3 linked regions of the Coturnix japonica genome follow. The protein of the gene in region 1 purifies or fractionates together with the protein of each later gene. This does not show direct contact. Links are inferred from orthologs where the notes say so. Each region holds a gene or a part of one and is shown on either strand. Other genes may lie near its edges. The genes, in order: MAP3K14, CAD and TIMM13.

Region 1 (5,763 bases):
TGAAGGCGATAACAGTGATCAGCATCAGAGCCATCCCGCACCCCACAGCAGCCATCAGCAGAGCCGCTGCGTGCAGCGCAGGGATCGTTGTGGCCATTTCTGCTCTTTTTAACCCCGGAGCAGCCGCGTGGCAGAGCTCTGTGATGGACTGCGAGGTGTGGGGCTCTGCTCAGTGAGGATCACAGCGAGTGGGAATGAAAGCGACCTGCATGAAGCGCTGCTTCTGCCTTGGGGAGGGAGGAGCTGTGACGGAGCGCCTGCAAACACAGAGCAGCGCTGTTCTAAAGAGCACCGACACGACACGACACGACACGACACGATACGACACGATACGACACGACACGACCTCCAGGGAGCCCGAGGGAGCACCAGGTCTGTCCATGCAGCACCACGATGTTCGCCAACCCGGCGTTAAAGCCCTGCACGATGCAGCATCCAAAGCTGCGCCCCACGCGTGGGGGTGGATGTCAGACCCGCCCGTGTGAGCCGGGAAGTGAAACCTTTGGGCCATTTGCTGCCCCGTCCATCCCCGTGTAACGCTGTGACCGCGGTGAGCTGCTCACGGAGGAGCGGATGCAGCCGGTTCATCGCGCACCGTAACAGCGGTTCTCACTCTCGCTCCGTTCGCGTTCGCCCCGAACTTCGATCCCTGCAGCACAACCCGGAGTTGGGCCGCTCCGTCCGTCCCTGCATTGAAAACCCCGCCGCGAGGCAGCGCTTCTCCGTGTTCCCTTTGTGAGCAGCGGACGCTGCGAGTTCTTTGCCGACACCCACGGTCCGAACCAGCTCCGTTATCGCCGGAGGGTCCGTTCGGAGCGGAGGGGGGGGCTGAGTTTGTGACCGTAACGCTGCGCCCAGAGCCGGGACAGCGGGAGAATCCGCCGCAAACCTCAGGCGGCGTCCAGTGTGTGATGGGGATATAATGGGGGTAATAGGGGATATAATGGGGGCACGGGGGATATGGGGACACGGGGAGGGGGATATGGTGAGATATGGAGGGATATAGGGACACGGGGGGGATATGGGGACATCGAAGGTAATGGTGGATATGACACAGGGAGGGGGATATGGGGACACCGGGGGATATGGGGACACGGAGGGAATATGGTGGAATATGGGGACACGGGGGGATCGCGGACACAGATGAGATATGGGGACACGGGGGGATATGGGGGATAGGGGGATATGGGGAGATATGAGGACACGGAGGAGATATGGGAGGATGTGGGGGGACAAGGGGACACTGGGCGGGGATATGGGGACACGGAGGAGATATGGGGGAACAAGGGGACACGGGGGGGATATGGGGACACTGGGGGGATATGGAGGGATATGGGGACACAGAGGGGGACACAGAGGGGAATATGGGGAGACGGAGGAGATATGGGGGGATATAGGATATAGGGGGATAAGGGGGGATATGAGGACACGGAGAAGATATGGGGGGATATGGGGGGACAAGGGGACACGGGAGGTGGATATGGGGACACAGAGGATATGGGGACACGGAGGAGAATATGGGGGATATAGATATAGGGGATAATGGGGGATATGGGGTCACAGGGGTCCTATGGGGGGGGATATGGGGGGACACGGGGGGACACGGGGGGTATATGGGGGGATATGGGGAGATATGGGGAGATATAGGGAGATATGGGGGATATGTGGGGATATGGGCTAGGTGCTGCAGGGCACAAAGGTGGAGCTGCGGGGCACGGGAGCAGTTTGTGCTACACAGCCGGGGGGGGGGGCGGTGCCGCAGCATTATTGGTTCCGTGCCCGTCCCGTTCAGCCCGGCCCGTTCAGCCCGGCCCCTCCTCCCTTCATGGCACCACCCGCCCCTCCCCCTCACACCGACCCGCAGCCCCGCAGCTCCGCCCCGCCCACCGCTCGCTCTGCGCATGCGCGCCCACAAACCGCGCGTGCGCAGTACCACCTGCACGAGGCGGTGGGCGGGGCTGTTCGCCGGAAGCTCCGCCCTTCCGGGAAACCGGCCGGGAGGCGGGGAGGGAATCCTGGGCGGTGATTGGCCGCGGGTCAGATGGGGCGGGGCGAGAGAAAACGAAGGGAGGCGATTGGCTGCGGGGCGGAGCGGGAGGAGAATGGGCGGGGCAAGAGGAGGATCGGAGCGCGGTGATTGGCTGCCAGGCGGATGGGGCGGGACCGGCGGCGCCCGCGCCTGTCAGTGTGAGGGAGCGGCGGGACGGACGGCGGGACGGACGGGGTGTGTGCGGGGCGGGCGGCACCGAAGACCGGAGCGCGGAGGAGCGACGAGATCGGCCGGTACCGGAGGGAGGGAGGGAGGGAGGGAGGGCTGCGGGAACAGGGTCAGCGGGGCAGGGGGCTGGGGTATGCGGGGTGGGCCTGGGGCGGGGCGGGGACGAGGAGCGCCTTACCTCAAGCCGGGCCGGGGCGGGCCGGGCCGGGCCGTGCCGTGCCGTGCCGTTGCCGTGCCGCTGTTCGGGCCGTGCCGCCGTTCGGGCCGGTGCCGCTGTTCAGGCCGTGCCGCCGTTCAGGCCGTGCCGCTGCCCGGTCGTGGCGCTGCCTTTGAATTCCTCGTTGGTGACTCACCCGCTTCGAGCTGTGAAACGCGGCGCGTTGTGGCGGGGCCGAGCTGGGATCGCCGCTTCCCTTGGGCCGCTCCGGGCTCAGCGCGTGTGAAGGGCGGCCCGGCCGGTACCCGGCCCTTATAACGCTGAGGAGCTTCCATGTGTGCTGAGCTGGGCAGAACTTTGGGGTTGTTTGGTGTCTGTAGGTGTGAGTTGGAAGGCTCGGGCTGTGCTGCGGTGTCACAGTGAGCGCTGGGCCCTGCTGACAGCACGGAGCTGGTTCGGATCCACTCGGTGCTGGGGGTGACCCAGCCGGGTGCAGCTGTGTCCCATGGGCTGCAGGGCAGAGTGCTGGCGGTGGGCTCTGAGCTGGGAAAGCTGAGTGCATCAAACACATGGGGACACGCTGCCATTCACATCTCTGCTCATGAAGGGACTCGTGCTGAGGGAAACAGCGACAGATGGTTGGTACATGGAGTTCTGCTCACGGATGTTTCCCTGCAGCTCTTGTGTCCCGGCTGCAGGAGGGCCGGGTGGATACTGGTGCTCTCCATCCCAGGGTAAGCAGAAATAGGAGCTTGCAGTGCTTGCCATCAAACCAGTGGAACAGGAGGTGTCTGTAACAAACCTCACTGACAGCACCGGGAGTCCTGCACAGCTGGAGGGCAATGGGAGCCATCAGGCCATGGGAGCACCATGCAGAGGAGGCAGCACCGTACAGAGGAGGCAGCACAGTGTGAGGAGCAGCCCAGCATTGCACCTCCTGCTCTGGCTGCTGCCCTGCAGCCTGTGCTCCTTCCCAGCCCGGAGCTCCTCGTACCTCCAGGAAGTCTTTTCTCCTCTCTTTGCGTGCGCAGTGTGTGAGTTAAGGACAAGGGGCGTGTGCTGAGCGCTGCAGCTTTCTTTTCTCAATCCCTACTGAGACAAAGCGAAACTTCTCCCTCCCGTCAGCACGGAGCTGCTCTGCGCTGCAGTAACATGCTGTGAGCTGACGCTGCTGGGAACGGAACCGCCTGAGTTTGGGCTGGAGCCCCAACGTGGCAGCCCAGCCTTGTCCTGCTGGAGCTGAGGGCATTGTGTTGTGTTGGTGGAGTCCCCAAGTCAGCGCTGCTCATCGCGCTCTTCTCAATAAGGAAGTGGGAAACCTCATGGAGACGACGTGAAATGTCAACATGAAGCAGCTGCAGCACACTCAGATTGGGAGAGCAGAGCTGTGTGCAATGCAGGACACTGCTGGGGTGGGAAGGGGCAGCGGGGAGCTGCTGGGGGGAAGGTGGAAGGAGCAGGAAGCCCCGCAGCACTGCTCTGTGCCCCGCAGCCCCATGCAGCTCCCAGCGGAAGCCGTCAGCTCTGTGCCGGTGCTGCCGCAGCACAACTGATACCATGTCGGCTTTCGTTCTGTACAACTGCACTTTCTATTTTACAGCAGTGAGAACTGACGTTGGTTAACGGGCTGAGAGCTGCAGCCTTCCTCAACAACCCTTCCCGCTGCCATCCAGGGCCCTGCGTGGATCGGTGCTGCAGCGCTCGCCTTCACTTAGTGCCTCGTTACCTGACCTCTCCTTTTCCTCTGGCAAAGCACGAGCCCGTGCACACATCTGCAGGAGGAAGGAAGGAAGCCAGGGGTACTGAAATCAAGAGTTGAGTCTCAGTGATGTGGATGAGCCAGAGGAGGTTCTGAAAGCAGCAGAGCTGGGACCCGCAGCGCCAGGTGCGCTCAGTGCAGGAGGGCAGGATGGGGGGCACAGCTCACAGCTCACAGCACTTACATTGGAGCATCATGGGGCTCAGTGCTGCGTGGTCCATCCTGAGCTGCTCATCTGCTGCAGCCATTATGTAGAAGTTCTGCATCGGTTCCTTTTCATCACAGCTCCCAGGTGCTCTGAGCTGCACATTGGTTTTGGGGTCCTGTAAAGCCTGCAGGTTGGATGGCAGTGCTTGGAGCTGGCAGCTCCGGAGCCCACAGTGCCCCATCGACCCACATGAGCTTTGTGTGCTGCCCAGTGAGGTTCCCCCTTCAGATTTCACTCCCATCGATGTTCCCGTGCTGCTCCTTTCCTTATCAGGCGGTTGCGGTTCCACATCTCCCCTCCCTCTATTACCTTTTAACCGAGGAGCACCTTGCAGAGCTGCGCGCTCTCAGGGGTGGGCAGGGCTTTGCTCTGCAGCCCCTGAAGGTGAGGAGAGGGCAAGGAGGGACAGAGTTAATGCAGACGGGGCAGCAGTGAGTGTAAAAATAGCTCTGAGCCTGTTGGTGTGCGCTGCAGGCTCACTGTTAGTCATCTGCTGCCGGCTTCTGCTGCTCCGAGGGATTGTTTTACAGCCCTGAGATCTGCCTTGATTTCTGTAGAGAAGGGGCAGGGGTGGCTGTGATGATGGGGTACAGCCCCGCGTGGGAGCTGGTGGGGGTGGGTTTGTCTTGGCTTCCATGCTCAGCGCTGCGTCGAGCCTTGCTTTGCATTGGATCAGTGTTAATGGACGCCGTGGGCAGGCTTCTTTTTCTCCCGAGTGTGGAGCTGCTTTGCCTGGGAGGTGTTATAATGAGTGTTGTGCTTTTATTTTCCCATTCCTCATTAGGGGCTGTGAAGCTGTGAAATGGCAGTGATGGGGATTGTGTGCCATGGAGCTCCCGCTCCGCCCACCAAGCAGCAGCAGGAGCTCAGTGCCACCAAAGGGCTGCACGAGGCCGCCAGCGAGAAGCAAAGCAGCGTTTGCAAAGTGGAGGATTCCAAGAAAGCCATCTTCCACAGCCAGTGGAAAATCCTCAACGACGTCATCACCAAAGGAACAGCAAAAGAAGAAACAGAAGGAGGCTGCGCGTCCATCTCCATTATTGCCCAGGCAGAGTGTGAGTAGCAGGGAGCGCTGCTGTTCATTGAGAAGGGCCGCGCGAGGCGGTGTGCGGTTTCACTCTCCTGGGGAGCCCAGCTGGGATCTATTTGTAATCCCACGTGGGGTGGAGCTGCTGACACATCCTGGGCTCTATTTAGGCAGCGCATGAAACCTCTTAATAATGTGGCAGCATTATTGAATGGCACGGAGTAACAGAGCAGTGCATGGCTGCTGCGCTGTGATGGCAGGAAATGCATCACAGAGTCCTGCCTGTGCTCTTGGCTGCTGCTGAGGAGCGTTCTACAATACTAATAATGGTAGAAATGCTGAGAGGGGGTCAGGTGGGGGACAGCAGGGGATCAGGAGGTGGCGGTGCAGTGCT
Region 2 (4,515 bases), on another chromosome or scaffold:
CAGCTGATCCCCAGTTGTGCCGTTCCTCGCTCGGTGCCAGGACCACTCCTGGTTCCTCCCGGCTGTTGGCACAGCTCGGAGCAGTGTTTGCATATCAGTCTGCATGCCCACACCCTCGGCGGGGTGCAGCTCAGCAGGTCTTTGGCAGCCCCCGCCCCGTCCTGCCCTCCTGACCTCTTCGACGCAACTCCCTTGGCTCAGCGCTCCGTGCTCCAGCCCTTGTGGGCTCCATGCTCACTCCCAGCACTCTGCTTCCCAGGCAGTGTCCAGCCCACACGCTTCTGCTCCCTTCTTGAGAACTTGGAGAAGCCCCATCAGCCCCCGCAGGCCCTCACAGAACAGACTCCAGTCTAAGGGCACAGCCACGGCACTGTGCACCCAGCACCCCGAATTCACCCACAGGGAGATGCAACCCCCAGCATGCGCTCCCACCTTGATGGACAAGGGCCAGACTGTGAAGCTGGGGTGGCCCAGGAGGGTCGGGTGATCCTGACCCTAAAACATAACCCAGTACTGGAGCTCCGTGTTCCCCAGCCCCTGCAGGTCCTGCTTGCTGAGTCCGTCGCTCCCACGCATTGCAGCCAAGGGCCCTGGAGCGCACTCAAGCCTAAGTAGGGCACAGTGTAGGCAGCCCCCGTGGGCCTCGCTGGCTGCAGGGCCGCTCGCTGCAGGCAGAGGCCACGAGGTCACCATTGCAGGCACGTGCTGCTGCTGCCGGGCTCAGGCTCTGCTGGCATCCTGGCCCCCAGCCCGAGCTGCGGGAGGTAAAGTGCTGCCCCGCAGCTCTCACCGCTGCTGGCTGCCCCCAGAGCAAGCGGCTGCCAGGAACATCCCCAGCCTGGCCCCGGCTGCAGCTCCGTGTTGGGTGAACAGCGGAGCTGCGCAGTAGGACCGGAGCTCAGGGCTGGAGCGTGGGGGGCTGCAGCGCTTCAGGTGAGCCCAGGCACAGCCCCTCCTTGGCCACCCAATGCCACTGAGCACTGAGGGCTGCTGGCCCATGGGCTCCAGCGGGGAGCAGCGACGGTGGGGGAGGTAAGTCTGTAACAGTGTGTTCCCAGCTCCACCCCCCCGGCCCAGCCCGGCCCCTCAGGACACGGCGGCACACGGGGCGGGCGCAGCAAACAGCGGCTGCCAGGCGGTGAGCGGCATCCCGGCGGATCAAATATAACAGCGGGGCGGGGATGGAACCAACAGCCTCAAACAGCGGCTGGACACACGCACCGTAACGTCACCGTAGGGAACGGGGGGATGGGAACGGGGACACCGCCCGCCCCGGACACGGAGGGACACAGCTCCTCCCATCCCCACTGAAGAGTGAGCAATACTCACACTCGCAAGTCACCACGGCCCCCCATTACCCCACCACCCCCCGCCCACAGGGTGGTGTCGCGGTGCATGGGGGCAGGCCGGGCCCTTACCGGCGGTCAGCGCCTCAACGGCCCCGGGCCGCCGAGCCAGGAGCCGCCGCAACGCCGCCATGCCGCCCCCACCGCCACGTGAGACGGCGCGGAGTGATGACGCGGTGCCAGCAAGGCAAACGATTGGCTGAAATGAAGAGACGCGCCGTCGCAGTTTATTGTCGTCAGTAGCGGCCCAGCACAGTGGCCAGCAGCGCCATCCGCACGTACATGCCCTGCTCCGCCTGGCGGAAGTACGCGGCGCGAGGGTCCGAGTCCACCTCCACGCTGCGGGCGGGACGTCAGCACCCAGACACAGCACAACCCCCAACCACCCTCAGAACGGAGGAGGCCAGGACACAGCCCCAACCCCCAGACCACAAACTGGAGGCACCCCCCACTCAGACCCCATTCACCCCCACTCAGACCCCATTTACCCCCACTCAGACCCCATTCACCCCCACTCAGACCCCATTTACCCCCATCCAGACCCCATCTACCCCCATCAGACCCCATCTACCCCCATCCAGACCCCATTTACCCCCACTCAGGCCCCATTTACCCCCATCCAGACCCCACTTATCCCCATTCAGATCCCATTAACCACCATCCAGACCCCACCTACCCCCATTCAGACCCCATTTATCCCCATCACCTCAGATCTCCCTCCTCACCAGGACAGGCCCCGTCCCTGTGCCCTCAAACCTCTGCCCCCAGGACCCCCCCTCCTGCTTGCAGCCCCCCCAGGCTCCCATTTCCCTCCTCACCTGCATAGCACCCCCCCCTCGCATCCCCTTTTCTCCCCCGCCAAAGCCTCTATCTCCCCACCATTCCTCCCCCTCCAGCTGGACTCCATAACCCTCCATGCCCCCCCTCCCCCCAAAAGACAGCTCACCCCAGCCCCACCTGATCTCGTTGACACGAGGCATGGGGTGCATCACCACCATCTTTTCCTTGGCCCTCGTCATGATGTGTGGTGTGAGGATGAACTGTCCAAAGCACTGCAGGGCCACAGCCATCAGCAAGGGAATGGGGACCCTCCCAGCCCTCCATCCCACCCTATACCCAGCCTGTACTCACAGCCTCGTACTCCTCAGCACTCTCAAAGCGCTCCCGCTGGATGCGGGTCATATAGAGCACGTCGGTGTCGGGCAGCGCCTCCTCGATGCTCCCAAACTCCTCCTGGGACAGCACCATCAGCAGGGCCATGGGGTGGTCACAGCCCTGCAGCCCCAGCCCCGTCCCTCACCTGCGAGATGCCCTTGGAAGCCACGAAGGCAGCGATGTCGGGCGGCATGCCGAGGCCACGGGGCGTGACATAGCGCAGGTGGACACGATACTGTGTGAGCAGGCGGGCCAGCGAGTGCACCGTGCGCCCGTGCTTCAGGTCACCCACCATGGTGATCTGCAGGGAGAGCCGTCAGCACAACCCACGGCACAGCACCCACCGCCCCGCGGCACAGCGTACATCTCACCGTCATGCCATTGACAGTGCCCAGCTCCTCACGGATGGTGAAGATGTCCAGCAGTGCCTGCGTCGGGTGCTCGCCCACCCCATCACCAGCATTGATCACGGGCTTGCGGCAGTGCGTAGCGGCCAGCTGGGCATAGAATGGGCCAAGAGTGAAACCCCCACACATACCCTGATGGCACCAGGGCAGGACACAGCCCTGCCCCGCTCACCTCCACAGCTCCAGGCTGGGGGTGCCGCAGCACCAGGACGTCGGCGTAGCAGCACATGGTCTGCACAGAGTCAGCCAACGACTCGCCCTTCTGCACCGAGGAGGTGGCCTCGGAGAATGACACCACAGAGCCGCCCAGCCGGCACATGGCGGCCGCGAAGGAGCTGCTGGTGCGCGTGCTTGCCTCGTAGAACATCGATGCCATCACTTTGCCCTGCAGGATGTGGTGTCAGGCGTGGGGCGAGGTGAGGGGCACGCAGCGTTCGTTCCCTACTCACCTTGAGGATGTCCAAACTGCGCTCCTTTTGCACCAGCATGCGCAGGGTGTGCGCCACGTTGAAGAGATGTGACATCTGTGGGGAGAAGCGGCTCAGGACGGGCACCCGGCACCAAGACCACCCCCTCCCTGTGCCCACCTGGCACCCACCTGCTCCTTGGAGAACTGCCGCACGGAAAGGATGTGCTGCCCGACCAGGGGGTGCAGCAGAGGTGAGGTGGGGAAGTGGGGAACACCTTGGGGGGATGCCTGGCGTGGGAAGGGGCCCGACAAGTGGGGGTGGCTGTCCTGAGCGGCCGTCGCATCTGTGGCACCAGGAACATACAGTGAACCCACATTGATGCATGCAGAATTCTCAGCCCCCCATTACTCACCTCCTTCTGCCATCCTCCTGCCGGCCTTGTCCCGCATGTCCTCAGCTGAGCATGAGAGGGGAATGCAGTGTCAGAGCGCAGCACTCCCGGCACCCTCAGCACCGCAGACGCGACGCTACAGAGATGCTTGCCCCAAAACGAGCTGGGTCAAGCCCCCATGCCATGCTCCACATGCACCCCATGGAACCCAATGGGACACAGCCCTGATCCTGGGAGGCACAGGGCCCCGAGGTGCCGGGCAGGCTGGGGCTGAGCAGGAAGGGAGCACCGCCGTGCCCCATCCCAAAGACTCAGCCCCTCGCAGGGGCAGCACAGGGGCCCGGGGCTGGCACGGCACCTGGGGGGGGCTGCACTCATTGGCTGTGCTTATAGTGCCATAACGCGGGGCTGAGTGAGTCCCCCCCAACATTACCGGTGCCTCGGGCGCCCGGGCGGTGCACGGCTCCCAGCCTCCGGAACACTGAACGGGACACAAGGGCAGGGTCAGCGCGTTGCCCAGCCCCGACGCAGCTCCCACACGGCCACATGCACGCTGTCCCCATGCGCCGTGCTGTGCCCCCCCCTCACCTGGCAGACCAGGGTCAGAGGCACGGTGGATGCGGGGTGGGAGGTGGAAGCGGCCCTCGGGCATGGGGCCGGCACGGCGTGGGCTGGAGGCTCGGCTGCGCAGCGTCTCACCCACTGCTGTGTGCCGGGGCCGCTCAGGGGTCTGCAGAGAGAGGATGAGCTGGAGCAGGGCACAGGTTGTGCCCCCGTGGCACCCTGCACCCCATTACCTTCACAAT
Region 3 (3,914 bases), on another chromosome or scaffold:
TCTTCCAGGAAGGAGCCAGGTGCTTCATCACAGGCTGGGGCTCCACCAAGGAAGGAGGTACTGCCTCCCCACTACGCTTCCCATCTCACTGCCCCAAAGATTCCACATAACCCACACTCTGCAGGGGATGCTTCTGCCCCCCACAGGCTGACAAACAATAGCACAAAAGGACCTTCCTGTGCTCCCTCTGCTGGGGAGGAACCAGGCCTGGGTCACCTTCCCAGTGCAGGTCTCTCCCTCTGGCACATGATTAAAGCTACAGCGACCCCTCTCCTACACATGCTGTATTACTGTGTGCTCTGCACCAAGCTAACAACAACCCTTGTCTCCTCAGGCCTCATGACAAAGCATCTGCAAAAAGCAGCAGTGAATGTGATTGGAGACCAGGACTGCAAAAAGTTCTACCCTGTCCAGATCAGCAGCAGGATGGTGTGTGCTGGGTTCCCACACGGCACCGTCGACAGTTGCTCAGTGAGTGTGAGAGCAGCAAACGGTGCTGTGGGATGGAGCAAACTCATGCCAAGTCCCCATGCCCCCCCCCAGCCCAGCTGCCCATCCCACAACCTCCCCCTCCCACCCCCTCCCCCAAGTCCATCCCACACACGCTGTGCTCTGTGTATCCCACCAACCTGGTCAGCTCAGGGATACAAACAAAGGTAACACCAGACAGGGCACCGTGAGGGTGTCCCATTGCACAGCCCTGCTGCAGCTCTGGAGATGTCTCAGTGTCCCAGTCTCTGTGCACACAAATGCAGCACTGGGCTCCTGCAGAGGTGGGCAACGGGACAGCAAATGTTCCTGCATCAGACAGCAGAATCATAAGCACGGGGCTGGGCTGGCTCTGTTGTCTTGTTTTGGTACAGGACCCTTCCCCTCTCTCTGCAGGGTGATGCAGGTGGGCCCCTGGCATGTAAAGAACCCTCAGGACGGTGGTTTCTAGCAGGAATCACGAGCTGGGGCTATGGCTGCGCCCGGCCGTTCTTCCCTGGGGTCTACACCAAAGTCACCGCGGTGCAGGGCTGGATCGCGCAGAACCTCAAGCTCTGGAGCTGAATTTCACCACTCAGGGAAGGTGCCAACGAGAGGAATAATGGCCAGGGGCCGCACGGAGCCCACCAGCACCACCGGACACCTCTGGGATGCTGCAAAGGAGTGAAGATGGGCTGCGAGCACGAAGCAAACGCTCGTGTGCTGTGACCCGCAGACAGCGGGACCATCTGATAACTGCTTTGCTTAGAAAGATGGCTAGACTTTGGTTTTTGTCTATAAATAAATGAGACTTGTCCCACCTTCAGACCTGGCGACATCCTGTGCATTAACAGCTGCCCTTCCCGGCCTGAACTCGGTGCAGCCGGCAGGAAGCCCTGCCCCCCCCCCACACTGCGCCCATCACCCGGCACCGGGCTCAGGGCGGAACCTCTCGGTGCAATAAAAGCCGGAGGCAGCGCAGGGTCAGGGCGGTGTAACGGGGTTTATTGCCGCCGGCTCCGCGCTCCGACCCGTCTCACATGTTGGTCTCTCCCATGTTGTCTCTCTCACATGTTATCTCTCTCTCTCCCATGTCGGCTCTCTCACATGTTATCTCTCTCTCTCACATGTTGTCTTTCACATGTTGGCTCTCTCCCGCTGCAGCCGGGAGTTGTAGGCTCTGGACACCGCGTTCCAGGCGTCCATGTACCGGTCCATGCACATGGCGATGCATTTCTGCGGCACACGGGGCGGTCATGGAGGATCCCGGGGGTCGCCGCCCGCCCCGCGCCGCGTCCCCCCGCCCCGCTCACCTGCTCCGAGTTGTCCAGCGCCCCGCCGGGTTTCCCGATGCATTTCCGAAAGCATTTGTCCGTCATTCGCTGCGGGAACAGCCGTCAGCAGCCGCGGGCACAACGACCCCCAGCCCCCCCCCCCCCCCCCCCCCCCCCCCCCCCCCCGTGCTGCCGCGGCTCCGTCCCCGCCGGTCCCGACCTGCAGCAGCTCCTGCGCGTTGGCCACGGCGATCTGCACCTTCACCTGCTCCATGATGAGCCCCGGGTCCAACTTGCCTCCCCCGCCGGCACCGGAGCCGAAATCGGAACCGAAGTCGGAGCCGAAGCCGCCCTCCATGGCTCGCGGTCCCGGCGGGGCGGCAGCGCAATGGCGGCCCAAGAACTACGGCTCCCGGCGCCCCGCGTGGCCCGGAACGGAACAGAACGGAACGGAACAGATCGGACCGGAACAGACCGGAACAGAACGGAACGGAACAGAACGGACAGGAACGGACCGGAACAGCGGCCGTGCGCGTCCCCGCGGCGGCAGCGCGGAGCTGAGCTGGGCGGCACCGCGTGGCCGCGGGTCGCAGCTCGCGGTGCTCGGTGTGAGCAGCGCCCAGCAGCGCCCGGGGCTCAGTCTCAGTCCTGCTCCCATCGCTGACAACAGCCCGGCCGCCATTTGTCCCCTCGGGCACCTGGACGCAGTGCTGGCTCCCATTCAGCCCATGTCCATCACTGTCCATCAGCACAAGGCCCCTTTCCAGCCCCCCCTCCCTCATCATTGATCAGACAAAAGGAAACCAATAAAATGCAAAACATTTATTTGAGTGTGTTGTACAAAAAGTTTCCAGTCTTAAAATGTATATTACAAATCATTGTAAAAGACACGACGTTTGGCATGCATATCCTAAAGAGAAAGAAAGAAAATAATCCCACAACGATGTGAAATGGTAACGCCCAGAGCACGATGCAGCACCATGAGCTGCATGGAACGCTCCCATCATATTCACACACTGCATCACTATTCCTGCCATTAAATAGAATGAGCGTTTTGAACTGCGTGGGGATGCAGAACCAAACCCACAACTGGATCACGAGGCATCACCGTCATTGTTATGAACAGGGTTGAACAGCCCGCCCAGCTGTACAGCATTGTGGCCTGACCTTGCTTTGAGATGGGTTATTGCTCATGGTTTTAGTGTGATGAACGTGGGCAGCTGATGCACAGCAGCATTTACCTTACAAAGGATCATCGCTTTGATAACAATAAACAGGGAAACGTGGGTCCATCCGCCACCCCCTGCACTGAGCGTCCAGTTACTGAGCGTCACCTGCTGCTCGTGTGGTTCTGAATGGAGCCATTTGCCCCATTCACGCTGTAGCCGTTAGCATTTCAAGGAAGGCATTACGCTTACAAATGATAATTGCATGTAAATATGATTTGTATAAAAAAAACAAACACTTAAATTATTTAAAGTGGTTTAAAGCTAAGCACATTGAAGGGCAATTCAAAATTCTGTTTCCCAGGCCATGTCAGACATTGGACAAACGGCCACCTCCCATTTGTCAGCTCCAACAGGAATCCAATAATGCAATCACGGTCCCACCTTCCACTCACTGGGTTACAACAAAGCTCCACCCCCTGCGTGCACAGGGCTCGTGGTTTGGACCCAACAGTGGCAATGAAATCCAGAATGGAACACGGATTCACAGAGATTGTAAAAAGAAAATAGAGAATGAATGGCTTAAGGAAGGGAGAGAAGTGCCTCGAGTGCTCACAACACACAGTGTTGGCACACAGCATTGGATCTTCTTAGTGCACAAAAGAAAAAGGTTCTCACACGTTCTGGGGGGCAGAGAGGATTTCTAGGTGCCTCTTCAAGCACCCCCTGCTCAGGCTGCAGCTAAAGGGATTCACACAGGATTACAAAGAAAAAGGGTGCATAAAAAACACTGCAATCCCTGAACTGAACATGAGGTGTCCTGTTGCTCGAGGATAAACGTGCTCATGAAGGGAATCTCCTTTCACAGTATGTTCTGCTTCACGCTGCAATACGGCTTCGGTGACAAACGAGAGCTGCAGACCAGCTGGTCTGGCTTTCCCATTACAGCCCATGGGAAGCAGATGTTTGTTTTCTTCCTGAGACTATTGATTCCTGCTCCAAACAC

What was found.
Region 2: the proteins of MAP3K14 (region 1) and CAD purify together in Homo sapiens (affinity purification with mass spectrometry; 3 studies listed by BioGRID and IntAct, with this or other methods). This does not show direct contact. The link is inferred for Coturnix japonica from reciprocal best matches to the Homo sapiens genes MAP3K14 and CAD.
Region 3: the proteins of MAP3K14 (region 1) and TIMM13 purify together in Homo sapiens (affinity purification with mass spectrometry; 3 studies listed by BioGRID and IntAct, with this or other methods). This does not show direct contact. The link is inferred for Coturnix japonica from reciprocal best matches to the Homo sapiens genes MAP3K14 and TIMM13.

Annotation. Positions count from the first base shown.
Region 1 is NC_029542.1:891,514-897,276, reverse strand, and holds the start of MAP3K14 (mitogen-activated protein kinase kinase kinase 14), read left to right. Parts: upstream 1-2,161; 5' UTR 2,162-2,283; intron 2,284-2,531; exon of another isoform or gene 2,532-4,260; intron 4,261-5,126; 5' UTR 5,127-5,144; coding exon 5,145-5,397; intron 5,398-5,763.
Region 2 is NC_029518.1:95,408,772-95,413,286, reverse strand, and holds the end of CAD (CAD protein), read right to left. Parts: coding exon 4,507-4,515; intron 4,440-4,506; coding exon 4,298-4,439; intron 4,191-4,297; coding exon 4,143-4,190; intron 3,776-4,142; coding exon 3,731-3,775; intron 3,662-3,730; coding exon 3,507-3,661; intron 3,433-3,506; coding exon 3,358-3,432; intron 3,294-3,357; coding exon 3,081-3,293; intron 2,999-3,080; coding exon 2,873-2,998; intron 2,803-2,872; coding exon 2,647-2,802; intron 2,580-2,646; coding exon 2,478-2,579; intron 2,399-2,477; coding exon 2,304-2,398; intron 1,686-2,303; coding exon 1,583-1,685; 3' UTR 1,547-1,582; downstream 1-1,546. Other genes in the region: protein Mpv17, read right to left, coding at 1,419-1,479. UniProt on the Homo sapiens protein: Multifunctional protein that encodes the first 3 enzymatic activities of the de novo pyrimidine pathway: carbamoylphosphate synthetase (CPSase; EC 6.3.5.5), aspartate transcarbamylase (ATCase; EC 2.1.3.2) and dihydroorotase (DHOase; EC 3.5.2.3).
Region 3 is NC_029543.1:221,610-225,523, forward strand, and holds TIMM13 (mitochondrial import inner membrane translocase subunit Tim13), read right to left. Parts: upstream 2,200-3,914; 5' UTR 2,101-2,199; coding exon 1,963-2,100; intron 1,851-1,962; coding exon 1,782-1,850; intron 1,705-1,781; coding exon 1,606-1,704; 3' UTR 1,453-1,605; downstream 1-1,452. Other genes in the region: TMPRSS9 (transmembrane protease serine 9), read left to right, coding at 1-57, 335-660. UniProt on the Homo sapiens protein: Mitochondrial intermembrane chaperone that participates in the import and insertion of some multi-pass transmembrane proteins into the mitochondrial inner membrane.